4 linked regions of the Rhinolophus ferrumequinum genome follow. The protein of the gene in region 4 binds, or shares a complex with, the protein of the main gene of each other region. Links are inferred from orthologs where the notes say so. Each region holds a gene or a part of one and is shown on either strand. Other genes may lie near its edges. The genes, in order: GRB10, ARRDC3, GJA1 and NEDD4.

The links.
Region 1: the proteins of NEDD4 (region 4) and GRB10 are in contact, whole or in part, in a crystal structure (PDB 3M7F), measured with the Mus musculus proteins. The link is inferred for Rhinolophus ferrumequinum from reciprocal best matches to the Homo sapiens genes NEDD4 and GRB10. Residues at the interface, in NP_035020.2 of Mus musculus: Glu71, Leu72, Val79, Arg104, Ser112, Ile114, Leu115, Thr116, Ser117, Val118, Gln119, Glu134, Ile135, Leu136, Phe137, Arg138, Leu242, Pro243, His244, Pro245, Pro246; in NP_001357532.1 of Mus musculus: Ile514, Arg516, Gln518, His519, Phe521, His522, Gly523, Arg524, Asp548, Gln579, Phe581, Gly587, Asn588, Thr589, Lys590, Phe591, Ser592, Ile595, Gln596, Asp599, Phe600, Leu603, Asn604, Ile617, Arg618, Val619, Ala620.
Region 2: the proteins of NEDD4 (region 4) and ARRDC3 are in contact, whole or in part, in a crystal structure (PDB 4N7H), measured with the Homo sapiens proteins. The link is inferred for Rhinolophus ferrumequinum from reciprocal best matches to the Homo sapiens genes NEDD4 and ARRDC3. Residues at the interface, in NP_001271267.1 of Homo sapiens: Glu847, Arg849, Ala851, Pro852, Phe857, Ile859, Asp860, His861, Lys864, Thr865, Thr866, Thr867, Trp868; in NP_065852.1 of Homo sapiens: Glu344, Ala345, Pro346, Pro347, Ser348, Tyr349, Val352.
Region 3: the proteins of NEDD4 (region 4) and GJA1 are in contact, whole or in part, in an NMR structure (PDB 2N8T), measured with the Rattus norvegicus proteins. The link is inferred for Rhinolophus ferrumequinum from reciprocal best matches to the Homo sapiens genes NEDD4 and GJA1. Residues at the interface, in NP_037118.1 of Rattus norvegicus: Asp416, Asp417, Tyr422, Val424, Asp425, His426, Ser428, Lys429, Thr430, Thr431, Thr432, Trp433; in NP_036699.1 of Rattus norvegicus: Pro277, Leu278, Ser279, Pro280, Met281, Ser282, Pro283, Pro284, Gly285, Tyr286.

Annotation. Positions count from the first base shown.
Region 1 is NC_046303.1:2,528,132-2,536,193, forward strand, and holds the start of GRB10 (growth factor receptor-bound protein 10), read right to left. Parts: upstream 3,074-8,062; 5' UTR 2,874-3,073; intron 1-2,873.
Region 2 is NC_046290.1:59,999,038-60,007,230, forward strand, and holds the start of ARRDC3 (arrestin domain-containing protein 3), read right to left. Parts: upstream 3,110-8,193; 5' UTR 2,881-3,109; coding exon 2,601-2,880; intron 1-2,600. UniProt on the Homo sapiens protein: Adapter protein that plays a role in regulating cell-surface expression of adrenergic receptors and probably also other G protein-coupled receptors.
Region 3 is NC_046286.1:70,969,856-70,977,336, reverse strand, and holds the start of GJA1 (gap junction alpha-1 protein), read right to left. Parts: upstream 3,169-7,481; 5' UTR 2,957-3,168; intron 1-2,956. UniProt on the Homo sapiens protein: Gap junction protein that acts as a regulator of bladder capacity. A gap junction consists of a cluster of closely packed pairs of transmembrane channels, the connexons, through which materials of low MW diffuse from one cell to a neighboring cell.
Region 4 is NC_046289.1:53,009,428-53,017,700, forward strand, and holds the start of NEDD4 (E3 ubiquitin-protein ligase NEDD4), read left to right. Parts: upstream 1-4,949; 5' UTR 4,950-5,322; coding exon 5,323-6,882; intron 6,883-8,273. UniProt on the Homo sapiens protein: E3 ubiquitin-protein ligase which accepts ubiquitin from an E2 ubiquitin-conjugating enzyme in the form of a thioester and then directly transfers the ubiquitin to targeted substrates. Specifically ubiquitinates 'Lys-63' in target proteins.

The sequences.
Region 1 (8,062 bases), on a different chromosome or scaffold from region 4:
TGGAAGGATAAGATCAGTTACAAACCCATTAGCACAGACCTGGTAGAAAGTTTCCAGGTCCCGAAAGCACCTGTTTGCCAAGCCTTGCCTACCAAGTAGCTCGGCTGTCTTAATTTCTTCTGTAACCTCCCATACTTCTACAGTTAAGAAAAAAATAAAATAAGACAGTTTAAAAAAAAATCTCTACCAGCAGAAAAAGTGTTATTTAAATTTTAAACATAAGACTGATTGCTTAATTGAAAGGCAAAACAAGTATTTTCTCCTCACGAGCCCTAAACAAACCCCACTTTGGTTTAAGAAGACTGAGACAGACATGACATGGGGTTTATGCCACAAACTGCAAATGGAAAGGCGTCTTTACCACAAAACAGAACAGAAGTCCCCTGCAGCCAGCTCTCTGAGTTCTGATAGGCAGACGTGCTCGCCCTTCCACACACTTAATTACACCGTACACAGGTGTTGAGTACACAGGTGTTTCTTCCTTGCAGGTAAGAGGTGGACAGGACTCGGAGGAAACAGGTTCTGTACATTATGCCACCTTTGAAGCACTGGGTCTACCAACCCAGAATTTCTACAGTCCTAGATGTGTAGATGTTTCTGTTCAAGCAGGAGTTTGGTTGCTATACACAGTAAAGTCTTGACCAGCTGTGTCATCAAAATCAAAGGTTCTGGGCTAGCACTTAGTTCTGACTTTGTTATTCTCTCTCAGTGGAGGCTGACTGGCCAGAGAGACGGTCACTGCCACTGGGCCAGTACTGCCCTGTGTTCCGATGGCACACCACCATACACAGCCCCCAACAAGTAGCTGGCATGAGCCTGCCAGTTCCAGGGTCTTGGTCCACAAATAAAAGGCATTTTTCCCTGCCATCGCTGCCCCCAAAATGGTACAGAACTTGGGCAGTATGCAATCGATGACTTTAGGGGTACACAGCTTTTATTAAAACACCATTTTTTTATTACAACAAACGTTTAACTACCATATCAAACTTACAACTCAGTGGATACCAAAATTTTCTCCCAAAAAAATATGTATTTTCATATAATCAATGAGCAGACAAAAGAAAATGTTGATAATGGCCTCAGCGACAATGAGAGAGCTCTGAAAAGCTGGGAGTCCAGGGAGTGGTAATGGGCCCTGCTAGTTCTCGGGTGTGTGACTGGCAGGGGACGTCCTCTGGGCTATTTCTCTTTCAGAGGCAGATGTACGCGTGCAGAAGCATAAAACACACAGGACTGAAAAAAAGAAATCCAAAACTTGGGCTCTGGTGATAGCTCTATCATGTGCTGGCCATGTGACCCTGGGCATGCCAATTTAACCTCTTGAGCCTCAGTTTCCCCACCTGTAAAATGGGGATCCAAGGGCTGTAGAGGGCTAAAAGCAACAAGGCTTCCAACGTGTCTCGTAAACTATGAAATGCTACAAAGTATCAGTCGCTACACTTCTCAGTTACACAAGCGCTGGCTGGCGCTGGCTGGGTGTGTAACCCGGTCTGTCCTCAGATTCCCTCCCTGTAATCTGGAGATTGGCCTGTGTGGCCCTTCTCTTTCAAGTATTCCCAATAAAACTCAAATGTTACGTGCAGTAATCCTAGAGTTCTGATGTTAACCGAAAAAGCCAGCCTCCACATCATTCCTGGAAACAAATTTGCTTCCAGGGCTTTTATTGAACAAAATCTTCCGCTAAAAGACACTTCACTATCCCCACAAGTTGGAATTAATTTCTTCTGCTATACATATCTAGATTCCACCTACTTTTCCTTCTAGAAAGAAAGGGGGGGGGGCTCCAAGTCAACTGCTGTGAGAAACCACCAGCCTCATGCTGTAAACCCCAGCCAGCGCCTGTTGCTCGCTAACATGTGTTCTGAGTAAAACCGAGCGAAATGTTAAGTAGAGCACCATTTCTGAAGCTGGGGGCTCCAAACGGCTGATTCAGCATTTTCAGAAACAAAGTGTTCTGGGCCTGGCCCTGTAAACAGCAGCACCCAGAAAGTTGTGCAATTACGCATATTCACTCAGGAGCGCTACTTGTTTTGGTCTTTTCTTTGCATCTCTTGAATGAAACTGGGTACATTTGCGAGAAGTCCTTCTTTCTAGTGCATCGCGGATCCAGCAGTGTCTCAGTCACCTGTGGCTTCCCTACAGGGCCCAAGGTTTTCGTCAAAGCAAACGACAAAAAGTTGGCATTTCTTCCAACCCCAGGAGAAGAGGGACACAATAAAAAGTAGAGAATACCCTAATTTCCATAGCGCACATGCTGCAGGGCCTCGCCAGGCAGGCTTTTGGAGAGGCAATCAGCGAAGGCAGACAGTTGCATCAGAAATTTCCTTCTGCAAACGGTACGGCTCTTATCACATTTCCACGGCTGGCCGGCGGCTAATCCGCGAGCCCTCAAGTTGGGGTTAGGCCCCAGCGGCGGGTAACGGGGTCACTAACGGAACCGAATAAAAACCCTCCCGAGACTGGGCCGCGCCGGGCTGGGGAGTGCCCGGCTCGGCGTGGGCTCAGGGGGGCTGCAGGGGACCCTCCGGGCGGCCCGGGAGCGCAGCCTCGGCCCTGACCGTGGACGGGCGCAGCCCCCACCTAGCCTGGCCCCGGCCCGTGAGCTGCCGGCGTCGGACGGGATGGTCCAAGGAGGCGCTGCCCGGCTCCGCAGCTCCCGGGGAACCCGCGCAGAGCCCGGCCGGCTCCGCCGCGCCCGCAGCCCCCAGCCCGGAGGCGACGCCCTTCCGCCCGCCGCGCCCCCGCGGCGCCCGGCGTCCCCGGCCCGGCGGCCAGCGCGCAGACAATGACCGCACGGGGACCGCCCGCCCGCCGGGCCCCGCCGCGCGGACCACAAAGTAACTTGCGGCCGCGATCCCCACCCAACTCCGTACCTGCGCGGCACCGCTCCGGGGGACCTCGGCGCAGCTGGGGCAGGAGCGGGCCCAGGGGGCGGGCGGGGCGCGCGGGGCGTCCCGGCCCAGCCTAGGGGCTGCGCGCAAACTTTGGCTCCGCGCGGGTCTCCGCGGCCTCCGAGCGCTGAGCCCGCTGCCGGCGCGCCGCTCGGCCCTTCCAGCCTCCTCCTGGCCTCCCCACCCCCTCGAGGGGCTTTAAACGCGCGGGCCCCGCCCGCCTCCGCCGCCTCCGCCTCCTCCCCCGGCCGCTTTTCCTGCTCCTCCTCCCGCCGCCGCAGCCGGGACCGCTCGGCGGCCGCCAGCGCGGGCGGAGCCGCGGCCTAGGCGCAGGGCGTGGTGCGGGCGCGCGGGCTAGGGGGCCGGACCCTCGGGGCCCGCAGCCGGGCGTGGGCGCCCGGGTCCCTGGTCCTGCCTCCCGGGAGCCCCAGACGTGGGACCCCGACAGCCCAGGCTCGAGCGCCGGCGGAAGACACATCGGACCTATCCCGAAAGGCAATTTGCAAGCGAATTCTTTGAAACTCAAAGTCTTAACTGTATGGTCCAAATCCTGCATCACCAACACAGTGCAAGGAGGACCGAGGAGGCGCCAATGCTGGGGACTCTGTCTGGACCGGCGGTCCAGCCCGGGGGGCGGGGGGGGGGTGGGGTGGGGGGGGAAGGGATCTTGGGTTTGCGGTGCCCGCTCACAGCCACCCAGGTCTGGGGCCTCTTCTATCTGATCTCAGTTTCCCCATCTGCGTGTGAGCACTGGAGTGAATGCGGGTGGCGGAAGGAGGCCCTACATAGGTTCTCAGCGCCCCCAAGCCTCAGTGTCCTTATCTTTGAAATGGGCTAATAAACCCCCCTGAGGGTGATATCCTAGGGGTTGAATGAAGTCATACCTGTGACAGTGACTGGCACGGAGGACACTGCGAATGAATGAAAACCATTATCATTAATATAATTATTAATGTGTCTACGGAGTCAAAATTACAATACAAATAGGATAGCAATAATTATGTCTTTTTCTGGATCTTCATGTTACAAAAACAGCTACAACAGTAACTTTTTCTGACCATTCATTTATGCCAAATGGCCACCAATCTGTCACCCAGCCCCTACTCCGGCCCTCTGAGGTTGTCACTGGGAGATGTCCACGGTGCAGATTAGGAAATCCAACCTCGCAGAGGTGAAATACCCTGCCCAAGGTCAAGTAGCTGGTAAGTGCAGAATAAGGACGGTGCCAAAGCCCTTTTCAGGCACTTTTTATAGCTCCTGCTTTTCACACCTTTGGATGGATATATCATGAAAGGTCACCCTTTCCTGCCACTGAAATAGGCCTCCTGAAAATGTCTACCCATTGGTCCAAGCCCAGAAAACCGTAAGATGAAAACCTAGAAAGAATGACGTGAAGGATCTTGGATTCCTGGGAGAACAGAACACAAAGGACTCCTGTTGAAGACAAAGGACTCGGGAGAAAATCACAGAAGAGAAAACTCAATTTGGGCCAACTTCTTACAAGTATGTGAGTTTGAACCTTGTAGCTTTGCTGACGGCACCAATCAGCCTGCCCCGGCCACGGGCTTTTGCAGATGTCTGAAGAGCACCTGTGAACAGACATCGTTTTGTCCTGAGTCCCGTGTAGGCAGGTTTCATGCACTATAGCCCCTAACCCCTATATACTTTGATGTCTTCCCTAAGAGTAGGGAAGCACAGTTAGCAAATTCATACATTTATGTTGCTCAAGTACACGTGTCTGGTCTCGGTCCATAGCCCAGCGTTGCCCGTTGATCTGCTAATGTCCTTGATAACGTTCCTTTCCCCTCATTACAGGACCCAGTGTAGGGTCAGGTGAGAACTTACTGTCTCTAAACGTGTGGATTTTCAAACATTACTATTCATTGAGAGGGGACCAAAATAAATGTCCTCCAGTGTTTTCCTGCTTCCATGGATCCCTGAAATTCCTGGGACAGGCGCTCAGCCCCCACCTGTCCTGGCTCTCCGCAGATATATCCGCATGCATCTCCTTTCTGGGCAGGTCCACTCAGGACCACTTTACGATCCAAGTTCATGAACGTGTCACTGTTGTGGGTTTAGAAGCTGCAGCTGTCCCCTGGACCGGGGTCCTGGCCACACCTGTACTGTGGGCAAACTGCACCTGAATGCCTTTCCCTGCCGCAAATTCCAAATGCCCACCACCCACATGACAGCAGCCAGGGTGGACATCAGCCATGCAGGGCTCGAGTTACCCTGGACCACCCAGCCGGCCAGGAGCAAGGCAGTGTGGCTTTGTGTTCAAGAGCTTCCCCAAGGGGAAATGGCCTGGCTGCAGCTAGGTGTCAGGACGGGAAACGGCATTTTGTGACCGTGAGGAACTCACTTATCCAGACGTGCGCAAAGGCTTGTTCAGCTGCATGGAGAGAATCCGATAGATTCTATAATTGGTACCTGTCCCCTCTGTCGACTGTAACCATGTGACAAGGGTAACTGCGTGCTCTTCACTGCTGTCATCCTGGCACTGAGCGGGCACCCAGGAAAACCCCTCATCACTGGGAAGTGGTACCATGCAAAGGGATTTAGCAGCAGAGCAGCAGGCAAGATGCTGTGATGCCCGGCACCGTCTCACACATGCCAGCAGCCTTGGCAAAGGGAAGGGGCGCCAGGTGAGCTGCTCACTGACAGTGAAGCCCTCTGGCCAGAAGTGGCCCTCACTTCTGCTTGCGTGGGCAGAGGCCAGTCCATGGCCCAGCCATGCAAGGGGAGAGGCGTGGGAGGGGATGCATCTGGAGGGCAGAGCTGGACACCAGCCAGCCATCAGAGGCACTAAGGACTGCCAGCCCACCCCATCCCCTCACCGTGGGGTGGGCTTGAGCTGCAATCACAGTATAATTGTAATACGCCCCGCAGGACCCAAGGGAATCTGTTCACCCTGCAGACCCCTGGGCTCATCCCCACCCTGAGGAGTTTACCGCCCCCCAGGGTCACTCTGCATTTTTAACAGACTTCCCCATGATCCACAACTGCCAGTATTCCAAATACAGTGACTCCTTGAGTCGTCTGAGCAAGAGGAGTACAGGCGGCCCCAAGGTACAGAGACGGGGAGCCTGGATGGGGAGCCTGGCGGCTTTGCTTCCCAGCAGAGGCCACACCCTAGCAGAGTCCTGGAGCATCCAAGATGCTAAGTGCCGAAAAGGGAGCCAAAGGAAAGGTCTGCCAGGTCGAGGGAGATGCAGGTACCTCACCAAAGCCAAGAAAAGTTACCAAGTAGTCACATTCCGTCATAGAAAGCTGGGGGCGGGGCTGGAGGAGGTTGCGTGGCAGGCGGGAGACGTGACAAGAGGCCAGGCTGGAAAGGCCAGCAGGGACTTACTTGTCGCCCTCAGGCATTTCTCCATTATCCCAAAGGTGATGGGAGAGTGTGAGACCTGTCTGCTGCCGCGGGGCTGACCAACACGATGTACCCCCCTCAGTGGACTGTCCATAGTCCCCCAATCACCCCCACCTTTTGTGGTTCCCTACATAGCAGTTGATTTACTGGGGATGACACTGGGCCCAGGGATTCCCATTCCAAGGGTTTGCCTGTGGAGGAAAGGATGGGCCCACCAGAAGCCTGCTCCTGGGAGTCCGAACCGGAAGTACTGGAGGGGGTCTGGACCACAGGCACCAGGTGAGGACCACCTGAGCTGGGCCCATGTGTGAAGGGAAGCGCTGAAAGCAAGCCCTGAACGGATGCCCTCTGTCGGTCCCCTGTCTCCCTGGGTCTGGGCCACCGCAGGTCTCCTTTCAATGGAAATGCATTTTCCGTATGATGTCTTAATATAAACTCTCCTTTTCCTGAGATACCTTGAATCAAAATGGCTTTACAATTCAAACAGAGGCTCACTGAAGGATGTTTCCTCTTAAGTCTGATCTATTGAGGTTGGATTTGCCTACAGGAAAAATTAACCGCTGTGTAACTGTGATGTCAGGGAAGATAAAGAGCAGCTTCATCATCCCAGAAAGTTCGCTCTTGTGCCTTGCAATATGTCCCATCCCCACGCCCTGCACACACTGCTCTATGCGCTTTCTGTCCCCTTAGTTGTGCCTTTTCGAGATTGTCACATGAATGGAATCACGCAGTATGTAGCCTTTTGTGTCCGGCTTTTCTCCCTCGGCTCACTGTGTGTGAGATTCATCTGTGTCGCTCTGTGCATCACGAGCGTGCTCCTTTAAAGCTGGTTGCTGTGCCGTGAGTGGACGCACCTCCGTCTGTTCATTCATTCACTGGCTGACGGAAACCTGGGCAGGTCCCACTGTGGGGCGATTATGAATAAAACTGCTATACAGGGTTTACCGGGAAGATAAGTTTTCGTTTCTCTTGGGTAAATAACAAGAAACGAGATCGCTGGGCCATATGAAATGTGTCATAAGAAACGGCCACACTGCTTTCAAAGTGACTTTACCGTGGGCATCTGCCCCCAAAAGGTGTGAGTGCCCCAGCGGTTCTGCGTCTCAACCAGCACTTGGCGCTGTCGGCCTCTTTAATTTCAGCCATCCAACTGGTGTGCGATGGTGTCTCGTTCTGATTTTAACTGGCGCTTTCTTCACGACAACAAATGGTGAGTGCTTTTCCACGTGCTCACGTGCTATTCATCTGCATTCTCCTCTGAAGTAAACGTCTTTGGTCCAATTATTTTATTATTATTATTATTACTATTATTATTATTGCATCAATCGTTTCCTTATCACTGAGTTCTAAGAGTTCTTTTTGTATTCTTGATACCAGTACTTTAGCAGATATGTGTTTTGCAAATATATTCCACCAGACTTTTCTATTTTTTTTAACAGTATCTTTCAGAGAGCAGAAGTTTTTAATTTTGTAGGTTAACTATTATCAATTTATCCTTTTGCAGTTTGTTTCTTATATCCCGTCTGAGAAATTCTTGCCTAACCCTAGACCACACTTTTTTTCTTTGTTTTCTCCTGGAAGTTTTATGTTTTTAAGCTCCTACATTTAGAGCTAAGTCCAACTTGAGTTAGTTTTTGTAGATGATGGGAGGCGAGGGTCAAGCTTTTGTTTTGCGTACGGATGGCCGCCTGTTCCACTGGGAGATCTGAGGGGTTAGAGGGTCCCAGTTGTGTCCTAGAAAACTCGATCTGGCTTCAGTGTAGAGCCAGGAGACCAGCTGGAGACTTTTGCCAATGGGGAC
Region 2 (8,193 bases), on a different chromosome or scaffold from region 4:
GGCCTAAACCGGCGCGAGCAGATCCTAGCCGGCCCGCCCGCGCGCCGCCGCCGCCCGCGCGCCCCGCTATACATAAGGCATACGTCGCCGGCGCTCGCGCAGCCTAGCTTGCTGAACGGAGGGCGGGGCGACCGTGCCGCGGCGCTTCCGCTTTATACGCCTCAGCTGGTGACCGGTTCGATCTGGCTCGGGCCACCCTGACACCTTTACAGTTGCGGTGAAGGAAACTGGGGCGGTGAGGGATTGGGGGAGGGGAGGAAAGGTTCCGGCAAACAATGAGGGGGCAAGGAATACTAGTCCAGGTTCCTACCCTGCTTTCCATGTTACTACCACTTTTCCTCCTCCTCCCCGCCAGCCTTTGCTTTCTCCCCTCAGACCAAATTAAGGTAGCCGGTCTGGTGACTACATTGGTCGCGAAACACGCTTTGTTTCAGCTAAGAGGAAAACAAGCGTTAACAGAAGCCACCTGACACTTTCTATCCGAAAAATACTAAAATGGGGTCCTGCGAACCAGGCACATGCAAGTTCCCTCAGAATAGGACTGTCAGCTGAAGTTGCGCCCAGGGCCATTCGGCACCTGTAAGGCCAGCAGGAGTTTCTCCCCTCTACTCCGTTGACACCCGAAGTCGTTTTTTTCGGGGGCCAAACAAGTCGAGGTGAGGGGGCGACAGAACGTGATGTGTGTGACAGGGGCCCTGGACACCTCCAGAAGCCGTGGCATGCCAGTAGGGCGGGGTCGACCGCTCTGGAGGGACCTTTACCGGCGCACGCCGGTTCCAAGCCTCGCCCCGGCCTGCGCTCTCCCCACCCGCCGGCGCCCAATCCAATCAGAGCCTGGCATCGCCTTAGCAACAGGCTAACAAACCCGGCTCCGCCTATCGCCGGTCACCTGGGGCGGGGTCTCAGTTACCAGGCTAGTTTGAGAGGTCCCAATTTTAAGTCATTGAAACTATTCCAGGCTAGGAGCTCGTCCACGTTTTCAGGAATTGTGGGGCATCTAGTGGGGGTACGGGGCACATAATCCCACGTAATAAAACCATGGAGTAACTCATGAAACTGTTTTTTCCCCCCATAAATCGTTATTCTACTTTTACCCCATTGCAAGCCTCAACTCCTTAAAAAAACCTTTGTTTGTTCTCAACCATTTTATAGAAAGCTGCAATGTCCAGAAAGGTTCAAACACAAACTCATGTATTTGCTTTTCTGCATATACCAGGACTGTCATTAGGCATGCATTTCTTACCAGCATTACTGCTTGGAAACATTAACTAGAAATTATTTCAGGATGCAAATTACCTATGTGTAACTGCATACCTAACTAAAGAATTGATTTCATCTTAATATTTTTAAAAATAGTACATTAATGCTGTAACTGAAAGCATCCTTCATATCTACACTTGGCTTAGTTTAATTAGCATTTCCTCCGGCATGTTTTTTAATATTACAAATAAAGGTAAAAATGTGCTCTACTCTTTCAAAAATAGTCAACATTTGAACTAAATACTGCATTAAAAAGGAGAAGTACAAAATTACATAACCAGTTTTAACATTATATTCTTCTTGGTCTAGGAATTAAGTCATCGCCACCACCTGACGCGTGTAACCAATCTGCTGAGAGCTGAATAAGCGCCCCTCCTCACCACCCCCCAGAACTGGTCCGAAACAGGATTGAACCGCTTCTAACAAAGGGTGGAAACTTAGAAAAACAAGCTTAGAGTCTCCTATATTTCCACAATGTAACGATTTAAACAATCGATTGGAAACCTCAGGACCTTTTCTCCCTTTGACAACCCTTTATCTCCCTTTTCTAATCAAAAATCAAATCCAATGTGCCGAATACTTTTCAATTTCATTTGACTTGCAGGGGTTTCATTGAATGCACGTTCCAAAGTTAGGCATGATGCTCGGAAAAAAAAAATTACTGATCCTAAATGGCTTCTAAAACTGATTTAAAACCTATCATAACGACAAATACTGTCCTTTAAAATAGAGAATGTCTGATATAATTTCTAAAGGAACTGGAAAGAATAGGGGGAAAAAACACGTGGGGTGTTGATACCATATGTCAAAATAAGCCACAGAAACCCTTTATCAAAGAACAATGATCAATTCTTTGAAGTCTTGTGCGTGTCAATATTAAAAATGAAATCCACCTATTAACCCACTTAAAAATGTTATTCCATTTCTTCATTGAAGCTTAGTTGTTAAGATCTAAGGTTGCAGAGTACAAGGACAAAATCTCATATTGGACTGCATGCAGCTTTTAGCAATTCAGTTGAAAATATATTAGTAAAATTATTGAATTGGATTTAAGCAGAATGTGTAAGGTGCACATGGATTGCAAATGCGTATGGCACACACCAAGCTGGGTATAGAGGTAGTTGAATAAGTGCAGTTTGCAGTCACTTTGCAGATGCCTGCATGCATTACGACTTAACACACGATGAATGTCAAGGAGAATCCAAATCTTCCAACTTTGCTAATCTTTATCAAACTGCTGTGTGTTATGCTAGGAGTAAAATTATATTAATTCAGAAAAATTGAAAAGGTACTTTCCCAAAGAAAACAGGTTTAATGATTTGAGTAATATAAAAACTTACCTCTTTCGTGTCCAATTAAGATGTCTTTATGGTTGAAATATTCTACTTCTTCAGTGTAATTCTGTGTATAGGCAGTGTTGGAGCCGGCGTTTCTAGATTCGGTCCAGCGTACTTTCGCATGTCCTCTTGCATGAATTTTAAGCGATTTTACTCTGATTTCCCCAGTAACTTCTAAATTCACCCTTCCTGAGACTGTATCCCCACTAGAATACACAGGGACATTGCTGTCATTAAGACAGTCAAAGCTTATTGTCAAACTCTTCACCTTTCCCAGCACCATGTTTATAACAAAATCTATAAAAATATAATGTAAGACAAAAAAGTCAAGATCACATATAAAATGTGATCTTCACTTAACACTGATCGATGTCTTTGCCGTGCAAAAAGCTTGCAGGCAAGATCAGTGATTCCTTACAAATAGTTCATTGAGATTTCTTAAAAAGTCAGGGCAGCTAGAAGCTGCTGCTCCGCGCTTCTGCTAGTCTCAGTGGTCTCCTTACAAAGACGGGCGGCTGGAGGCTGCCAGCTCACTTTAAGAGCAGCTTTGTGAAAAACAACCCCGGTGCGCATGCGCACGCCGCGGCTGTTGCCCGCCCTTCTGGTGCGCCCCCTCCCGCGCCTCGCTCGCTAGTTCGCTTGTTCGTTCGCTTGCTCGACTGCTCATACAGTAGGTGTACAGCTTGGGGAAGAAGACATTGGGGCTGCTGGGAGGCTGAACCTGACTTCCCTTCATTGTGGGCTCCTATTGGTAGGCAGGCAGGCAGGCAGGCTACCGTAAACCCTCGAAGTGCTATCTGGAGCCTGTTACTGAGCACACTCTATTTAAAGATAATGGCAGAGGGGGTCACTAGGGAAGAAGGGTTGGGTGGGGAGTTGTTGGTAAAGCCAAGTAAGGATGAACTGCTGAGTGACCAGCCCCAAGCATGCGTTACAGGCACGGCAGGGTTTTGACTACCGCCTGGCTGGGAGTAGGAAAAAGTGATGATTGAAGAGCGATGGGGGAAGGGGAGAAACCGGTTGGGCAAGCGGCTGGTTGCAGAGTATAATCTAACGAATTTCAAAAGAAAACGTAATAAAACCAGACAAGGAATAATATTCTTAGACAAGAGCATTCTTGGCTTAGATTTTCTTTTTTTGAAAAGCCACTGCTTTGTAGGCAGGGTGGAAATGAACTCAGTCGAGGCCAAAGGAACCTTAAAAGAGAATACTGTAAGGAGCAAGGAAGAGAAGCAAGTATAATTTAATCAGTAGGTTTTTGCTTTTTCCTCAACTTCTTTCTCTTCCATCTCTTAATTAGATAGCAGTGAAAAACAACCAAGTTGTTTGCATGATGACACCAGGGTGAAGAAGGGCTTGACCACTTCCTCGAAGGAAGAAAAAGTTTTTTTAAGACACCACCTACAGCTGGAGTTGCAGGGTATGACATGATTATAACTCCTGTGTCCCGAGGATTAAGAATAGAGTTCGGCCTTAAAAAAGTACCACCTTATAAAAGGTAGTATGACATAGTGTTTTAGCAGACATAATGTTTACAACAAGATCGGCAAATCTTTGTTAGAAATTAGTGAAGCACATAAGATGGTATTTAAAAAACGATTTGCAATATAAGTAGGACTTAATTCTGTAAAGCTTTAATTTTCAGCCTTGGACTTTCTCAACGTAATACTCGGTACATCTTAAAGACAGATAACATTTGTCTCTTTATTGTGACTATTTTGGTAACAAATGGCAATGCTTTTTATAAAATGACACTGGGATTAAAAGCATAACAACATAAATTTACCTAGATTCTTTACAATCAGCTGCCTGTAAGAGAAACAAAAATAATATATGAATCTGGAGCTATCTATACATAACCAAATATACTTTGGAAGAGTTTGGGCTGTTCATGTCTAAAACGTTTTGCACTCTTGTGCATATATTTGGATAACTTGACCCTATGATTCACAATAAACTAAATTCATTGAGCTTGCTGTTTTCTTACTTATTTGGAGGAAACAAAATTTTATTTAGTTGGAGTTTAGTTGACAATATATTGGACTCAACAACCTTCTATGGGGATATAAATATGTAAACTATTTGTACAGTTAATGTCAGGCCGTTTATCTCTGATAGAGTTGAGATGGTTAGGCTTAGAACTTAATTTGTGTATTTCAGTGGGGGAAATAGTCTCCTTTTTTCCCTCTTGGTTGACACCTGGTGGAAATTCTAGTTGTTCAAGTACTTGGGACCTTGTACTAGCTTTGATAACAGATACTACTTGTTTTTTTTCGCCACCTAGTGGTAAAAGTAGTGAATTTGCTAAGATGTCAGCTTTTCAGCCTTAAGATCTAATACAAGTTATTAAACATTCAAGTAACACTGGGCAAGGAATAAATTTAAAAGTGCAGTACACAATAAACTTTCATTATTAAATTTGTTTTAATTATTAAGGGTTAGTGATGAATAGCTGAATTCTTCAGAATGTTTAGTAAAATTTCTCCAGTTGAAATGTAACTTATTTCTGAAGAAACAAGAATCAGCTGTTTAAATAAACTAGACTTGCATTTAACCACAAATAATTCTAAGAGATTTACTTGTAGTTTGGAAAATCGTTTTAGCACATTAAATGATTCATTCCTATCACTATATTACATTATTCTTTCTGAAACTTTTAAGATATAATAAATCATTGTCTTTATGATTTATTTTTCTATTTCTCCTTATTTTCTTTTTACTGTGTCTTTCTAAACACTTTAAAACTGACAAGTTGCCAAGAATTTCTTATCCCATATCATTTTTAAGATCCTACTCACCTACCTTAATTGTCATCTTTCTTCTCTTTGGATTTGGTCACACGACTATTTCTTAAGTGCCTAACCTTGAGTTTGCTTCATTTTGTTTTCCTCCTCCTATTTATTCAAATTATGAAAACACCAGAAACAAACAACAAACAACTCTGGTGTCTCTAAATCTATCTTATGTTTTTATTTCTAAAAGAAGAAAAAAGCAACTAAATTTTGAATGTTTTCTCTTGTGATTTTTATAACCTCCCCTTTAAAGACTCCTTATCTAAATATCAACCTGTTAGTTTGAAAAGCTGTACTGTAGCCATTCATTATCTTGGGCTTCTGGACTTGCTTCACAGGGCCCTTACTGTATTTTGCATTATATTTAAGCTATTCATGTTTACCACCAAGGCTCTTTCCTACCGCATCTCAGCCTACATCTCAAATGCCACTTCCTACTCATCTGCTAACTCTCTATACTACTGTTAAGTACATCTTCTTGACAGGAGATGTTAGCTTGTCTTTGGTAACTTTTTTCTCTCTTGCCAATGTGCAGTTACATTCTGCTTTCTGTGCTCAGAACAACACCCCACTGCTGTATTATCTTCTTTCCCTTCTTCTAACCCCTTTACCAGATTCAGTTGGCACACTGAATAAAATCAACTAGACAGAAAAACTAGCGCCTCCTCCCCTTTCTATAGCTTCTTTGGAGCTTAAATAAATAGGACTCTTCTTCTTTATAATACTTTTTTTCCTTGGATTTTTAATTCAGTGCTGTTCCACCTTACTGTATAAAGGTTCAAACTCAATCTCAAGAACTCAATCTCAAGGTGTATAATATTGAGGCAGTAATATGTCAAAATTATTGCCACATCTGGAGTTAGTTCATTACTTATTAATATATCAAAATATTCAATATTGTTATATAAAAAAAGGCAGCCATGTCAACTGAAAGTTTTGATATGTGGTTATAAGAAAAACCATATTAGCAGTCATAACCTGTTTCAAAAAAAATGTGAAATCCGTGCTTACTTCTTATTTTAACTAACACCTTGAGTACCATAGAAGTTACGGAAGTTTCTCTGGTTTGTTTATTTTTCGGTATTCTGTATTTCAAGATTTTGTAATTGACTTAAGAATTTAACTTCTTCAAAATGCAACGAATTTGACTTTGGTGTGGAGACGAGGTAAGATTTGCTATAGTGTTAGCAAAATGAGTAAGATTTGTTTTTTATATTTGATAGTTAATTATATGGTACGTTCATTGCATTCTTCATACTTAATAGACATTAAAATGTATTCTGGATTTTTGTGAGAAAATTCAATACCAAATTTGGTTTCTCTTCTTGCTCATTAAGAAATAGTGTGAAATGTGAATGTCTTTAATCTTTTATGTTTGGTTTCTTGATTTAGAATAAAATTATTCATAATTCTATCCACCCAGAGATATACCCCACTATTAACTTTTTGGTACATTTCCATCTAGAAGTACAACTAGGAAGAGCCTTGTCAGTTAAACTATGGCAATGCTTCTTAATCGTGTAGACTTCTTTGACAATATATCTGATTAGTGCCTCTAAGGGACAGTCTCTTGAATGGATTTGTAACCCACAGGGCCTGCTAAATTAGATGAATTGGCAGTTTATTTATCCAGGCTCAAGTCATATCGGGCCTGCAAAAAGAATCAGAAATGCTAAATTTCTTTTCTGAACTATTTTTATGACTTGACGTAGCCCAATTTCATGTAATTTTATGTAACGAGGGTAAAAACATTATAAGTATAATAACTAATATTTTCCTGATGATATTGAGTTCTAGTGGCAAAGTATAATTGAAAGGAACCAGTTCTCAGTTTTTTATATCAAATTCATATTTGGCTAAATGGAGTTTCATATTTCATATCTTGCTTGGAGAATGTTGTTCTTCCAATCATCTACATTTTTTCTGTTGTTGAAGAGAAATTTATTATAAATGATTTTAAGACCTAAACTTGTTATTTACAGCTACTGCCTTCTCAATGCTGTTTAATGGAAGCATTTTTCAAGGATCTGCCTCCTAAGGTTAGTTTTATTTACTGTTGTTAATTATTATCCTTATGTTACCATAACTTAAAAATTGTGAGAGAGAATTATTGCTTCTCACCCATATATGATCAGCTCAGTTTACATGTTCCTGTATTTCCTATTGTTGGGGATTTTATTTGCTACCACACTGAAGAAGTAGTTATGATGAAGGAACTGTTTGTTGTGGAAAAGTTATAAGGAGGAGGGACAATTTAAATGTAAAAGTTTGCTGAGCACTCTCTGCCTCCAGAAATCTAAGGTTTCAAATGAACTTTTGTTTTGGGGTCAAGAAATGGGTTAGGTGAAAGCTAAACCTTAAATTCACATTTTTAATCTATGACCTAGTAAATTCACATTTGGATAATCAGCAGTTGGTTTTAGGGTTGTTGTTTGTGTAACATACGATGAATGTTTAAATAAATTTAAAAATAAAAATATGGTGAATATTTAAATAAATTTTTTACAGTAAAAGACACATTGCCATTAATCCCCCTCAGAATACTCCCCCTTGCTTCAAATACACTTATCCCATCATTCTTGCCACTTTCTGAAGCAGTTCTGGAAGTCCTTTTTCGTGAGTGTCTTTAGTTGTAATGTCTTAGCTGCCTCAATGTCGTGAATCAATTCAAAACGTTTACCTTTCATGGTCATTTTGACTGGGGAAGAGCCAGAAGTCACAAGGTTCCAGATCCAGTGAATAAGGTGGAGGAGGACACACTGTGATGTTTTTATTTGAAGAAACTGCCGTACAAGAAGTGATGA
Region 3 (7,481 bases), on a different chromosome or scaffold from region 4:
CTGAAGAATTGTTTTTAGCACAACTTATCTTGAATATTGACATTAATGATAAACACTAGGTAATTACTTTTCTTTCCAGAGCTGAAGTAGTGTTGAGTAGACAAGCTTCAACAATCTATTTAAACAGCCAAGAATCTTGAAGGGAAGTCAGAACAACAGGAAAGGTGGAGTAGAAGGGATTAATCACTGGTGACTTTCCTATTGTTCCGTTCCCTCCAGTATCACATATAAAGGCTCTGAGGCTCACACCTAGCTACACCTCTGGATAACAGCAAAGGAACTAAGGAATGCACTGTTATCTAAGTTTTCCATCCCTCTCTATGCAGGAATTGGAAACATGTAAGCAACAAAGCAACTGTCAATATCTGAAAACACACTCTTTTGGATCCTTGCTGCAGAGTATCTTTGGAACTGTTTCCCAGGGAGAGTCAACTATAAAGGGTGAGGGACGGAGTGTATGTATGGTATGGGGTAGCTGTGGTAATAAACTTCAAAGGGTATTAGAAAAATATGGAATATGTTTAAATAGTTAAGAAAGTGGGAGCAAAGCACTACCACTGCGTTTTCCACGCAAAGGATAGGTGACAACTACACCCTGACTTTGGGAATTACAAAGCATCACACATTGGGGGAACACGTTTCAGTAGTACAAAATTCAACACATTCACAGGGCAGAAAATACTTACTGCCATTGGTATAATTTCCAGTCAATTCGGCCTACCTAGAAAAATTCATTATTGCTCCCCAGACATATTTTCTATCTAAATGGCATAATTTCATTCTTGGGCATGGAGTTAATTTAATGAGATCTCTGAATTACTACAGTCTTTTATTTTCAGAAATCCTTGTACAAAAGATTAGGCTTCTTTAAAAACAAAAAAATCTCAATCTAGTCTTCAAATTGCCACAAGGCATTTCTGACAGAGTTGGAGGATGAGATTAAGCATCTTGTCATTACTAACCTCGTTTGGGAAGCAAAAAAAAAAAAAATGAAACCCACCTCCAAATAAAGCCATGTCTATTTTTCCAACAATTTTATAGCTCCCCTTTTCCCATTTTGCCCTTCGAGAAAAACGCAGGCATGCCTTAGGGTGAGGATGAGTATGGGGCTGGTGATGGAGAGTTTAAGGGTAAACTTGACCAAAGATGCTGGGTAAACATTTGGATAGCTACGAACTGAGACAGTGTGGCCGATCCGCTGCTCGGAACTCTAGGTTTGAGTTTCCGAAACCTGATTTGTGTTTGAACACGTCATGAGTTCTTTCCTAATTTCATTACGGTGCTTCCCCCCACCCCGTCGCGCCCTACCCCACATTCTTGGGAAGTTTCGACAACTTCTAGGAGAGTTACAAGTGCAATTTAAGCACGGTTAATTCCTAAGGCATTCTGATTTCCTTTACCAACGCTTGTATAGTAGGATTTCAGAATTTTAAGAAGAAGAAAAAAAAAACCTACGGATGGGGGTGAGAGGGAAATTACATTGACAAGATTAATTAATCATTTGCTCTTCTTTTACCATTGGGGTCCCCAGTCCATCTGCACCCCTCCACCCTCTCCCCCACCCCCACCCCCACTTTTGGTGGCAGAACTGGGACCTGCGTTAGGGTTGACGTGTGAGGGAGGGTTCCAGGGCAACAGCTCCCCAAACCTCTCCAAAACCCAGACGCTGGCGCTGCGCGGGGGCCGGGGAGCGCCGGCGGGTGCTAAGCTGGCAGGAAGCGCCCCGCGCCCGCCACGGCCCCCGACCTCCGCTGAGCTTTCATTTTTATTTGCTTTTCAGCATTCTCTGGTGCAAATACTTCAAACTGCAGGGTCACACCAAGAATTTAAACGAATGAGTGTAGTCTGTGTAGTAGAACACACAAAATCCGTACAGAACACGCTAACAGAATGTGTGTTACCAATAAGAGCATTTAAGAAACTGAATCCTTTTTAATAACAAATCAGCGTAATCTTCGCCTACCGGCAGCACCCTGGGAGCTCCACCTCAAGTGCTGCCCAAAGCTCTGGAGTCTGTTACAGGTTCGGCCAGGCGAAAGGCGGCTGCGGGGGTGGGGGTGGGGGCATGTTAGCTCTCTCTAAGGAGCTGTTTAAGAAATTTCGTTTCATATTCTTTCTAGGAGCTCCGGTTTTAGGAGACGGTTTTGGAAATGCACCCTGGCATACACTCTTTTCTGAACGTGTGTTCAAGCCCTCTAATGCTTTGTAAGCAACCACCGCCCATTCAAAGGATTTCATCTCTTGAATTGCCAACGTGGTTGAGTAAAAGGTGGCTCTCCTGAGAGTCTCAAATTTTTCCACAGTAGTTGCAGAAACAAAGTAACTCTTTACTGTTGATTTAAAAACTTCAATAGTACAACATTGACTTTTATACCATTTGTTTACCGGGGAAAAAATTTTAGGAAGGGACCACGTGGAAGTCAAGTAACCGCAAGGTCTTAACAAAGCACTTTGTTAAGAAGCTTGCTTTGCCAGGCTATAGAACATCAATCAAGATTTCCACATGAAAAAGCAGAAAGTGTAGAATTCTATAGCAAGCATGCCAAGCAAATTTGCACTGATTTTTGTGCTGCTGTCGGTCAAATTTCCAACCCAGGCTCCGATCCACCCCCCCCACCCCCCAAGTTACAAAGCACCTAGACTATTCCTGATTACGAAGTAAGTAAAATTAAACTCTAAAATGAAGAACCAAATATCCAGCAAACTCGTGCTTTATTCTAATTGGAAAGATCTGAATCTTATTTTACCTGTTCCATTATTAATAGAAACTTTATAACAGTCGCACAAATACTGAACGTTCAATTTTAACTTTAAAACTATAGAAACACTTTCAAGTTCATCGTTTCATTTACAGTATGATATCAAAAGTACATTTAACACATTTAAAAACTGTAGAAAAGTTTTACATGTAGAAAAAGAAACAAATAGGTAAAGATTTTTTTTTGTTTTAACTTACTCTTTTCTCTTAAAAGAAGTGAAGTAGGAACGCCAAGTTATTGAACTCCTTAGAGGATGAAGTAAAATGAAAAGGCAAGTTCAGGCACTCAGACCTGTCTATATTTAAAGTTTAAACGTCTGCTGCTGTTTGGTACTTTCCTCACTCCTTCCCCCTAATGAAAGAAAAGTGCTGATACCTCGTAAAAGCTTTTTTCTAACTTGGAGCACACAGCTTTTAAAAGTTTCAACCCACTGACTCAACGAGGAGGAGGGGCTAGGAGAAAGGGGAGGGGAGAGGCACAGCGAGGAGGGAGTTAGACAGCAGGCCGGCGCACGTTGACGGGTGGGGGAGAGGAGGCAGAGAGGAGTGGCGAGGTCGGACACAAAGTTGTAGTTTAAGTTTGCTGACGAAAGAAATGAAAGCATTCGAGGTGAGAATGCTACTACTTGTAGTTACTTTTTACAGATAACAGTTACTGGTTTTAGCGCTGTTTCCCCAGAAGTCCAGAGATAATAAAAAGTTGTATATTTTACAATGTCACAACCTTTCCTAATACATGTAACAGTAAATAAAAATGCTGGAAAAGAGTGTAGCCAGTACAGATGTGTTTCATATTGGCCAAGGTGTGTGAAGTTAAAAGGGGGGAGGGGGAAGCAAATTATTTGATAATCTCATTTCTTCTAGTTTGAGTAAGGACCATTAACAAAAGAAATGGTGGGGATGGGAGAGAGAGATTTCAAAAATGGACAAATGTGGTAGTGTGCCCATCCCAAATCCACCTTCCCACCCCTTGACTGCTTTGAATGTTTACTCTTCAGTTTAGCAAAAGCTGTATTTATATTTATAATTCTATTATATGTGATATAATACGTTTTGCTTGTGAAATCGAGATGTATCTCACGTCTCTCTATCGGGTCTTCAGGGAACTGAAAATGTATAATATCTCAGCCCCATTCATGCCAATGCACTAAAAACTAAATCTTTTGTAGTGAAATGTCAGAATATTTTTAACGAAATACTGACACGGTAAATTGACAGTAAGTGGGTCTCAAAACTATTCTTGAGATCATCTCCTTTTCTAAAACCCATGGGATTTTCTGCCCAATGACAGTAGAGCTGAGCATATCATTTTATGCATTTTTCCACCACTTCCGTGGCTCTTCCTGTTAAGCACTCTGCATTCGGGTATATAATAGCCTGAGTCATGTGGCCTCCTTTGAAGACTCCCCGGATGCCATACCAGATGGCAGTGCTAGGACAATTCCCCATAAACAGGCTTCAGTGATGCTCCCAAGGTTGAGCAGGGAAATCCCTAGACCATTATTCTTTGGAAACAAAGCAAATTCATCCAGTCTTAATATTCCTTATCCTTTTCTTGCTAATACAAATACCAGAAAAAAAGGAAAATGGCAAATATTTTATGGTAGATACATTTCTCTAAATATATCTTCACTAAAAAGATTAATAAAACATCTTTTGAAATGTTGTAGTTTTAAGACACGATATTGCTCTTTCATTTGTTGGCTATACTATTTCCAAGGGTGTATTTTTCTTTAAGTTAGAGGAGAAAAAAGAAATAGAAATTGTAATCTGACTTTCAAGTCTTCAAGCTCAGCAACCCATAAATGTTGTTTTGGTCTTGTATTTATAGTTTGCCTTCAAACGAGTCTATTGTTTTTATCTTAACTAAAAATTATTTTATTCGATTCAGAACACATTCATGAAAATATGATTTATTTTTATAAGAAAATTGGCTTCCCCTTTTTAAAAAAGGTCTGTGCTTCATTTAATTTACATAATCATTTGCTTTCCTTTTAAAAATTATTCAAGTACAATTATTACTGATATTATACATTTTATTAAAAAGTTTTCCTAAAATGCTGATTCAGCATTACTTGCATGAACAAAAAAAAAAAGTTGCAGTGGACTATTTTGTAACAGGGTTGTGCAAGCCAAAAATTGCTTTCTTTCCAGTTACGTTTTGTTAGGTCTCTAAAAGGCTGATATCTAAGTATTCTGCTACCTTTCTTTTTAGTCTATTGCCTATGTGACAAATGGGAAGTAGAACCAAAGCACTTCTTTATACCAAATTAAGTTCCTCATGGATGTCACTTGAACTATCTTCTGAATCAAAAGCTAGTCATAGCATGAGCCACTAATTAAATAATTAGTTCTCATAATATATAGGATGTACTGTGTCTTCTATTTCTAAAATGATTTCCTCATGATCCTTCATTGAAAATTAAGACATTCTCATGTGATCTTTTATTTTGGGATAATGGCACCAAAATGTGACCCTATGAGTAGGAATGCTCAAAGGGAACAGGGTTACTGTGAATGGCTTCCGTTGGAACATTAACAACAGTTTTCTCTCATGCAACTAGCAGCTTCTCCAAATGCTGAGTAGTTACTCTCATTATACCTCACTAATACTCTAGCCGGGTTGGTGAGTTATATCGTGACCTAGAATCTATTTTTATAAAGAAGCCCACTTATATAAACTTAGAAGCATGTCTCCATTGTTAAAATCATGGAATAGATTTTTTAAAATGTGTTTTTATCATATTCTCAGAGATGCCAATGCTATTTCATTAATATAAACACTGACTTCTCCAAACTGTATCTTCTCTGATTGCCAGGCCTGTCTATGCAGAAGAAATGGATGCAGCCTAATTTACTAGTCAGGAAACAGTGCTCAAGCGGGATGAGGGACAGTCATTTACAGTTCTTGTCATCTGTATGGTTTCTTTAGTCACCACCACGAGCCAGACCCTAGATTTTGTTTTAACCACGTTGCTCTGTGTCTTGAGAAATGCACATTGAAGAGTAGACTCTTTTTCCGAATTGTGAGAAGTATTTTTAACCTGAGAACCAATTGCATTTTGGATGTTTGCCTTTGTTTCAGAATACCAATTTCTGGAATTTTAGCAGATGAATGGATTAATTTTTAAGTACTTTAAATGCCTATATCACACAAGTTCTGGCAGGTTACTCTTACTTCAATGAGTAGCATAAACATTCAAAAATATTTTGGGACTGTAGATGAGAGATTACTAAGGAGAATATTGTAATGACTGTGGACAAAAAGAAGGGATGCTGTAATAAATCATAAATTCCTAACTGGGCAGGTCATGGTGGGTAGTCACTCCCCAGGCATATAACTTTAGAAAAGCTTTTTCTTTGCCTTAAGCAAGCCCTGTCCATTGTCTCTCTGTATCTAGGTTAACACAGCTTTGAAATGTCTCTTTAACCACCCTTTCAGACTACTTTTTCTAAAGTGTAACCACCCTCAAGAGAGCAGATAATCTTAACTATCCTGTAATCCAATCCCTGCCTTGTTTTCTCCCACCTTCCTGTAATCTGCCTCAGTCTGTTACTTAATTTCAAATGCATAAAGAAACTGCAAAACTGCTATTCTCCAGAATATTTGAGATCTTGCTCCCCGGAATATGTCATCAGTTTGGCTCAAATAAACAGTTACAAAAATTCTCTACAGGTTTGCACATTTCTTATGTCGACATGGTAGAAGAGTGAGTTTCAAGAACCTGAACTAGAGTACTAGGACAAAGAAAGGAAAGGAAAGAAGGTAGAATGATCAGAACTTGATGACAGATTGAGTGAAGAAGATTAAAGAAGAGGTGTGGAAGATGATTTTGGAGTTTTGATTAGGAAAAAGTTACACAAAAAAGGAAGTCTGGAGGAGGAACTGATTTGCTGAAAGAGATTTAATGATTTCAATTTGGAATATTTTGGTATGAAGAACTGAAACATCTAGGTAAAGACACCTGACTGGCAATTTAAAATTGGGGCTGTGGAATGTAGGTTAAAATTGACATAAGATTTGGGATTATACTCATAGAATTTATATTTGAAACCACAGGTACAGATGAGATTACTAAGAGATGGAATGTAGGCAGTATGCTTAGTGTATACCCTCATTTAATGCAGGCAAAGAAAAAATGAAAAAAGAGACAAGGTAGACTCTGGAAAAGGGAAGAGTGTTTAAAATGGCTATAAGTGGGTTTGTTTGTAAGGAAAAATATCACCTGAACATTGGGGGAGTCTTAACTTTGCAAAAAGGACAGTTATTCCTTTAAAACAAGAGTGAATGCAGATCATAAAGAAAAAATGTTTTGAGATGGAGAGTGTGGGCATTAGGAAGCTAGGGTTGAAGTCGACATCTAAAGTAAAGTAGGTGAGGTTATCAGTTAACTGAGATAAGAGTGAACTGAGCTGAGAAGAAAAGTTTACATCTGGAGGAATCCAAAGGCAGCTGTAGAAGAATAAAAGGATTATCTAAGCTTGAGAAGGTCTAAAGTGATTTTGTAATGGAATAAGATTCCATTGTCTTATGGAATGCCTTTCATTAGCATCAGAATGATACTATCTATGCACCAAATTTCCATTTTATCTAATGTTTGTTATGCAGTGAGGAAGGAGAAAAAGTTCATTGGGATCTCAATAGTGCGCGAGTTCAGAAATACTCTACCCACATTGGTAAAACCAGCCAGAAAATGTGTTCTTGATGTGACTGTTGATCAAA
Region 4 (8,273 bases):
TTTGGGCAATATGGTTAAGTAGATATAATTTTTTTTTTCTCCTTCGTGGTGCTACACTCTACCCTTCCATTCTCCTAGTAGGCGCCTCTCCTGATTGTCATTTCTAAACAGATTATAAGGTCTTACTCAGGAGATGACAGGAAAGCCAGCATCTTGGTCTTGCCTCCGTTTACTCTCATCCCTGTACCCTGGTTGGTGGTCCACAGTGTTTTGAGTTGTACCTCCTCACTCCAGTGGATTCTGGGGGGTTGCAACGTCCCATCCAGTCTCTTATCTCCATTCTTTTACAAAGAAAAACTATCTTCTTTGCACTGATAAAATAAAGGATTGCCAGCTCCTATATAGGCAAAAAGCAAAGTTAAACCTGATTTTATTTTTTTTTAATGATACCGGTAGTTTTGATTTCTGATTTCCTTAAGACTATCTTCAAATCCTATCCTTTTCCTAATTTTGTCTCTTTGGGATCCTATTTCAAACCTCCTTAGCATCTTACAATTATATTTTAAACCTGTTAAGATTTGAACATGAAGGTACAAGAACAGTGTTATGTGTTCAAAGTTTATCAGTGATTAAACAGAAGTACCAAAAAAGTTGAACAGTTTTATTCATTTTTATAGCTAACAAAGACACTGGATTTTTTATTTTTAAAATCTGTTTTTAGCGTTAGACCTCATAACATGTTTTCTTTTCACCCTCAAGAAATGACAGCTATACTAGGAACTGAAGGTATTACAAACAAAATCTATTAATTAGCAAAGATGCTTTTCTGCTGCCAAAGGAGACTTCCTCATTAACTGGCAATCTAACTTTTTAAAGCTGAGTGACAAATGATGATTTGATTTTTTTTTTCTGTTTGTATTTTTGCTTTTGCTTTTACTATAGAATAAGAATTTTTCCCCCCTCTGTCTTTACAGAGCTGTTTTACTTCTAGATGGGACCAGTTAAAATTTAGTGTTGGTGTTTTTTCAACAATGAAATATATATACAAAAAGTAGATATAATATGAATCTTTATTTTAAATAATAAGATAAATATCTGTGTACTTTATTACTCAACTTAAGGACTATAACATTACCAAACTCTTCAAAACCCCCTTCAGCCTTCCCAACAGCATTTCCTTTTCTTCCACTCACAAGTAGCAGCCACCATCCTGAAAATTGTTTATCATTTCTTTGCTTTTTAAAAATATTTTTATCATGTATATATGTATCCCTAAAAAAACCAGAGTTTCCTTTTGCATGTTTTTCAATTTATCAAAATAGTATCACTCTGAATGAATTCCTCTGTGACATGCTTTTTGATCCATGATAACACATTTTCACTGATGCATAATTTTCCATCATCTGCAAATGCCATAAAATCCTAATTTGTGTATTTATCCTCCTTAATAGATACCAGTGTTGTTTCCAGGTTTTTGCTGTTACCAGTTGGTAAACATTCTTGCCATGTTTCCTGATGCACATGTGTATCTGTTAAGATTCGTAATTTGGGGTTGAATTGCTGGGTCATGGTGTTACGGTGTTATTTTTCCTGTTGTTACTGACACCAATGTGAATTTCTCCCTGATTCTTGGGTGCTTCATTGGTGAACTATTTTATGTGAGTTATATGTAATGTTGTCCACAAGGAGGGATAGCTCATGTTTGCACTTTTCACCATAGTTGTCTAGTCGTTTTTGCCTATAACTTCAGCATGGTGTAACTCTTTCTTCGTTGCCAAAATGGATATTTCTCATACTCGGGTGCAGTAACACTCCTTGAGCACATGTAGCGTACTATACATGGTGTCATGATATGTCAAAAGGAAAAAGCATTGCCTCTGATATTAACAATGGGATATTTCTAGGGTTATAAACATGATGTATAAACATTAAAAACAAACAAACAAAACAACCTTTAAAGCTAAAAGCAAGCACAAAAGAATGCATTGATCAGTATATTGCAGATTCCCCAGGGGGCAGGGATTGCTTGTTGAAGACTCAGGGAAGAGTTGATGTTACAGTCTTGAGGCTGAAATCTGCAGGGAAGGCCACCAAGCGGGAAACTCAGGTAGGGTTTCTATGTTGTAGTCTTGAGGCAGAATTGCTTCTTGTGTGGGAAACCTGTCTTTGCTTTTAAGGCCTTTAACTGATTGGATGACACCTACCGTCTTATGGAAGGTAATTGACTTTATTCACAATCTAGTGATTGAAATGTCGATCACATCTCAAAACTAGCTTCACAGCAGCACCTAGACTGGTGTTTGACCAAACAACTGGGCAAAACAACCCCGCCAAGTGATACATACATATTATCATCACCCTGGACTTTAGACTTCAAAGTTCTAGTCAATGATTTGGGTTATCCAGAGCCTAGCCATAGCATGTCAATAATCACATTATTTTCTGTGTAGATAATCAATCACCAAACATGTCAGAATGTGGGGTCCTGAGCTTCAGTCTAATCCTAAGATGTTACCTGTGTCACTTCAGAATATGGAAATCTATAGGACTGGCATAGATTCCTCCCCGATGAGGGTTGCCCCCACTCTACCTCTGCTCCCCTTGGGTTAAGGCTCCTCTTTTGGCATCTGTTTGGCTAAGGGGCTACATTTGCCCCAGGTTCCCCAGGCTCTGCACATGACTGCTGTGACAGCAGTACAGAGCCCGTGTGGTCCCAGACCAGAGTCAGCAGTGCAAACTGTTCAGCCTCTCGAGAATTAAACGCAGACTGGAGAGCGAGCTAGGAAGGGCAGATGATTCTCTTACCTTACTTTTCCTCTTTGCAAAATTTTCAAGCATCAGTCCTTCTTGTCCAGCTGCAGTGCTTTTTGACATTTGTTTAGAAGTAGTAACTGGATCAATTTCTTTTTAAAACCCTGAAAGAAATCATGAGGCAGGCAGAGTGGCTATTCATCTATCCATTCAGTCTCCTCTCTGGTGTTACTTAGTGCTTACGTGTTCCCAACAGGAGCTCGGGGCATCAGAAGAAATGTTTAGTTATGACCCTCACACACTGGAAGCTTAAAATCTAGTTAGAGTTTTAACTAACATGAAACTGATGCCAAATATCTGGCCAAATTCTTGAGGTTCATTATTTTATATTAAGAACTAGAGGAGCTTTGCTTATTAACTGAAAGTTTTAGGCCGCAGGCACGAGCAGTTAGATCTCATTGATTAGCCTGTTAGTAGTGATCCATTCTTTAAATTATCAGACCCCTAACTTAATTTAAGACAGAAAGCAGAAGTCATTTGAAGGCAAAGTGAAAAGATTAGGACTGTTTCTTCTATAAAGAAAAGGCATGATACGGGACTGTTTACTGACATCTGTAAAATCATTAAGGAGAGTATACAAAATCAAAATAGCATAATAATTTTATTACTAAGTTTACAATTATTGCACACATTCTAAAACATAGTACTGTCTCATTCGAGTCAGAAATATCATTCTAGTCAGAAATATAATTTAATTGATACCATATTTCTATTTTTTCTTGTCTTAATAGATTTAAAATACCGTTTAGAAAATTGTGATTGAGAACAGATCTGTCTTATGGGGTTTTCTTTTTTAAACAAAGTGCAAGTATGTATTTTACATATTTGCTTTTACTTAGAGAAAAAAAAAAAAACACCTTACTTAAAAAAATACAACTTGGGTGTAGTACCATGTGGTGTAAACAACTGAACTATTTTACTTTTTACTTTCCTATGAATGAGCCAGTATATATTTATTACTGGAGTTCCAGCTATAAAATTCAGGTAAGGGGTTTAAATATACCCTAGAGTATTATTTAAAAATAAATTTATTTCTTTCAAATAGAGTACCAACCTTGGTCTATGACATTTGGGGCAGAAATTAAAATATTAAACTTTTATTACCTAGTAAACTGAAAATAAAGTAAAGGTTAAATAAATACAAAGCAGAAAAAATATATATACAAAATCACAACCCCTAAAAGGACAAACAGTGTACTGTTCTCTACTGGAGGAGCTTTATCAGCAGTAGTAAGTAATTCCACCTCTAGGGCAGTGCTAGTACTCAAAAATGTAAACAAGTACGTACTTTGTTTATATAAAGAAATATGCAGCATGGTTTGTATTTCTTTATAGATATGAAACAGCTAAATGGATTGTTTCAGTGCACCAGTAGGGGCCAGCAAAGAGCTCTTGGAGTTTTTCAGAACAGAATTGGCATTGAGATATGTTTATTTGATGTGTTAAATCCTTTTTAGACTTCTTTACTTACCACAACACTCTCTTAAGTGAATGAATTGCAGAGACAGTGGAATAAAATATCTTGTGTGCTCAAACTATATTGGGGTATAGTTTTTCTGTCTAATCTGCATATATTTTTAATGGAATGTTTGCTTAGGCTATTTCTTGGCAGAGTTTTAATAGTCAAAATATAAATGGCATCATTTAAAGACTGTACTACTTGGCTGTAAAAGCCTTTAAAATTATAGGAGAAAATGCTTGGTGACAGCTTCTCTTAAACTTTATTTTTTCTCAGACATATACTCAATTTTTGCAATAGTATTAATAGGCTCATTTTGTATTTCTTTCCTTATGCTTTCATTTTGTATAAGAAGTGTTTTGGAATTTAAAATACTTATCTATTTGATCGAATGCTAAATTTTTAATTTACCCCACACTTTTGGTGTGTCCAAATTGCATAACTGTTTGAAGTTATCTGTAAAAATTTTAACAGTCTATATTCCTTTCTACATTAACTAACTTGACTAGATTCCTAGTGTGGCCACTATTTGGAAATTCAATCCTCGATTTGATACTCAATTACATGGGGTTTCATTCCTACCAACTTCCTGTAATTTTATCCCTATGGGTAAAAATATTAGTGGTCAAACTCTGCTGGAAAAAGTATAGGCACAGTGATTCACACAGTTAAATGTTCATTTAGTAGAGCTGGAGTGAAAAAAATACTGTTTTAACTTGAAATGCTAGAAGATTGTTGTTCTTGTGTTACTCATTCATGCAAATTGGAGAAGGTATAATTGAAACAAGGTTGGCAGTGTTTGAGGCAGTGAGCTGCAGCTGAGCTCAGCTTTAAAGGTCGCTGGAAATCAAGTGCTTTGTAAGTGAAGGCATTTTGACTACAAGCAATTCAAGACATTTTGGAAACGTCAGTCTCAGGAATGGGTCGTCTTTTTCTTTCTGAGATATCTGGTATCTAGTGTTTTCCTTTGGATAAAGACTACTACTTAAGAGCTCTTTTAGGCACCACAAATGATTTTTTCTTTCGACGCAGTGCAGCTGCTTCTAGCCTGTCTACCGACAGAGATCTTTGTTATGACTTTCAGCCCTTAACATGTTTGGAAATGAGAACAAATGGCACAAAGCTTACGATTGCACTTTGCAGCCAGAAGAAGCAATACTTATCCTTTGTCAGAAACCTCCGGAGATGACTCGGATAGCAATGTTCCCATGTGCTTCAAAAGACCAACACGGATTTCAACGTCTAACGTTGTTCAAATGAAGCTGACTCCCAGACAGACTGCACTAGCTCCGTTAATAAAGGAAAACGTTACGTCTCAGGAGAGCTCATCTGTTCCTCCACCTGAGAATGTTAATAAAAAGAGCAGCTGTCTACAGATTTCACTACAGCCAACAAGGTACAGTGGATATCTTCAGTCTAGCAGTGTCTTAGCTGATGCTGACGATGCTTCATTTACCTGTGTCTTGAAGGATGGCATTTACAGCAGTGCTGTGGTTGATAATGAACTAAATGCTGTGAATGATGGAAACCTTTTAAGCAGTTCTGCCATTTGCAGTGGTAGCTTTAGTAACTTTTCAACCAGTGAGAACGGGTCTTACAACAGCAACGGTAGTGATTATGGGTCATGCACAAGTATCACAAGTGGAGGTTCCTACACCAACAGTATCATCAGTGACAGCAGCGGTTATACTTTTCCATCAACTGATGATACTTTTCTGGCCGGAAATTTATCTTCTGACAGCACCTCCTATAGAAATGTGCCAAACAGGAATACTACTCCATGTGAAATTTTTTCAAGATGTACAAGTACAATTCCTTTTGTCCAGGATGACTTGGAGCATGGACTAGAGATTATGAAATTGCCAGTGAGCAGGAACTCGAAAATTCCACTAAAACGTTGCTCATCCTTAGTCATTTTTCCCAGGAGTCCTGCAAATACCCCACCAACTTCTCCGACAAATACAGGTATTCTTCCAAGCAAAGGATCCTATCAGACGTCACACCAATTTATTATTTCTCCTAGTGAAATTGCCCACAATGAAGATGGTACTAGTGCTAAGGGATTTCTTTCAACAGCTGTCAATGGACTTCGGTTATCTAAAACAATCTGTGCTGCTGGAGAAGTAAGAGACATACGACCACTTCAGGGGAAGGGCTTATCACAAAAGAAAATTGTTATTGCGAATAATAGTCCAAGTCAGACTGTCTTTGAAAAGTCACCTGATGGATATTCTTGTGTTTCAGTACATTTCACCCAACAAAAAGCAACTACAGTAGATTGTGAAGCAGCAAATAGTGATTGTAGACCAGAGATGTCAGAAAGGAAGCTTAATTCTGATTCAGAGTATATTAAGCTGATGCATAGGACATCTGCGTGTTTACCATACTCCCAAAACGTGGATTATCAAATAAATATTAATGGACAGTTGGAAAGACCAAATTTACAGATAAACAAAAACCGTGCTATTTTACAAAGAAGTATTTCACTGGGAGGGACTTACCCAAATGTTTCCTGTTTATCCAGCCTTAAGCACAATTGTTCCAAAGGGGGACCATCTCAATTACTAATAAAGTTTGCATCTGGAAATGAAGGTAAAGTTGATAATTTATCAAGAGACAGCAACAGAGATTTCACAAATGAACTATCTAATTCTTTGAAGCATTCTTGTAAGGTAAGTTTCCTTTGGTCTTGGTAAATGTTAATTTATATTAGAATAGCTTTATGAAATATTTGGTTATAATTTAGCAGTTTTATATACTTTCCTGGTCCTTACTTACCAAGCAAGTATTTTGTAGTCATGAACTTTATATTTGTAAATCTGATGAACCCCCAATAGTTTTTCACTCTATTTGTTATTTTACTAATGTAGAAAATATTCATTAAAAAAAAACTTTCTGAAGTGATTTAAGCCATAAAACATTTCTGTAACATAAAAACAAGCTTTAAATAATAATTTATTTTATAACACTTTACCTTGATGTATTTTTCCCTCCCCTCAAGAGGCATAATATTTTAATGTGTAACTCCATATTTTATTCCTACTTACAAAAATGCTCATTTATTAGTCTCCTCTCCGTAATCATTGTGAAGTAAAGTAAAATATAGAATGCTTATTTAAAATATTAAGCAATAGAAAGTGTATGTAAAAATGTGAAAATCTTGTTAGAAATGAGCATAGAGAAAACTGTTTTTCTAAAATACATGTATTTATTAGATCATTGTTAAAAACTATTATGCTGCATGTTTAAAGCAGAGGAAAAATAAATGACATTTTCATTTGTATATGCCTTAACCACAGGAATTTTGTTTCCACGGTATTTTTCTTTAGCTACCAGGTAAGACTGCCTTCTGAAATGTAACTTACTCTTTCAACAATATTGAAATCTAAATTTTATATTTTTGAATTTGGTTTCAATTGTTAGGTATTTCCCATAATTTTTTAGTTACCTTATTCATTTGTTATTTGATAATTTTGATTTATTATATTAGTAATTTAACTCTAATAAATCTTAACTAAAACAGTTCTTTATGTAATGTGGCCTTTCCAAAGTATGTTAAGTGTTTTGACCTTAAATAGAGTTTTTAAAATTTCTGAATTTGGAAGGTCTTGCCAGGATATTAAAACATTTTAAATACCAGGAAATTAAATTTTTTTTCTGACTAAACCAATTCTAGATGACATTATTGGAGGAAAAACTTATCTGTTTGTCTGTGTTTAGTCACTCAACGTAACACTCAATATCTATACTAAAGATTTTTTTTTAAACTTCTGGAGAGGTAGCTTAAGGTAAATAAAATATGAAATAATTGCTAATTTGTTTTCTCTCTTTTGAAATCCAATAAATATAATCATTGTTACCCAATGCCCAGATGTTCAGATAAGCAACTAGTTTACCAAGGATGAATTAAGATCAGATTTCATATTCTGATCTATCTTTTAGAATTATTAATTCCGTTTACAAAACTGTTTAAAAACCAGCTTTTAGGAGATGATAATCCATTCAACTGTTTTGCCCCCTAAAGAAAGCAATGAAGTGATACTAAGAAGAAACATTAATAGTT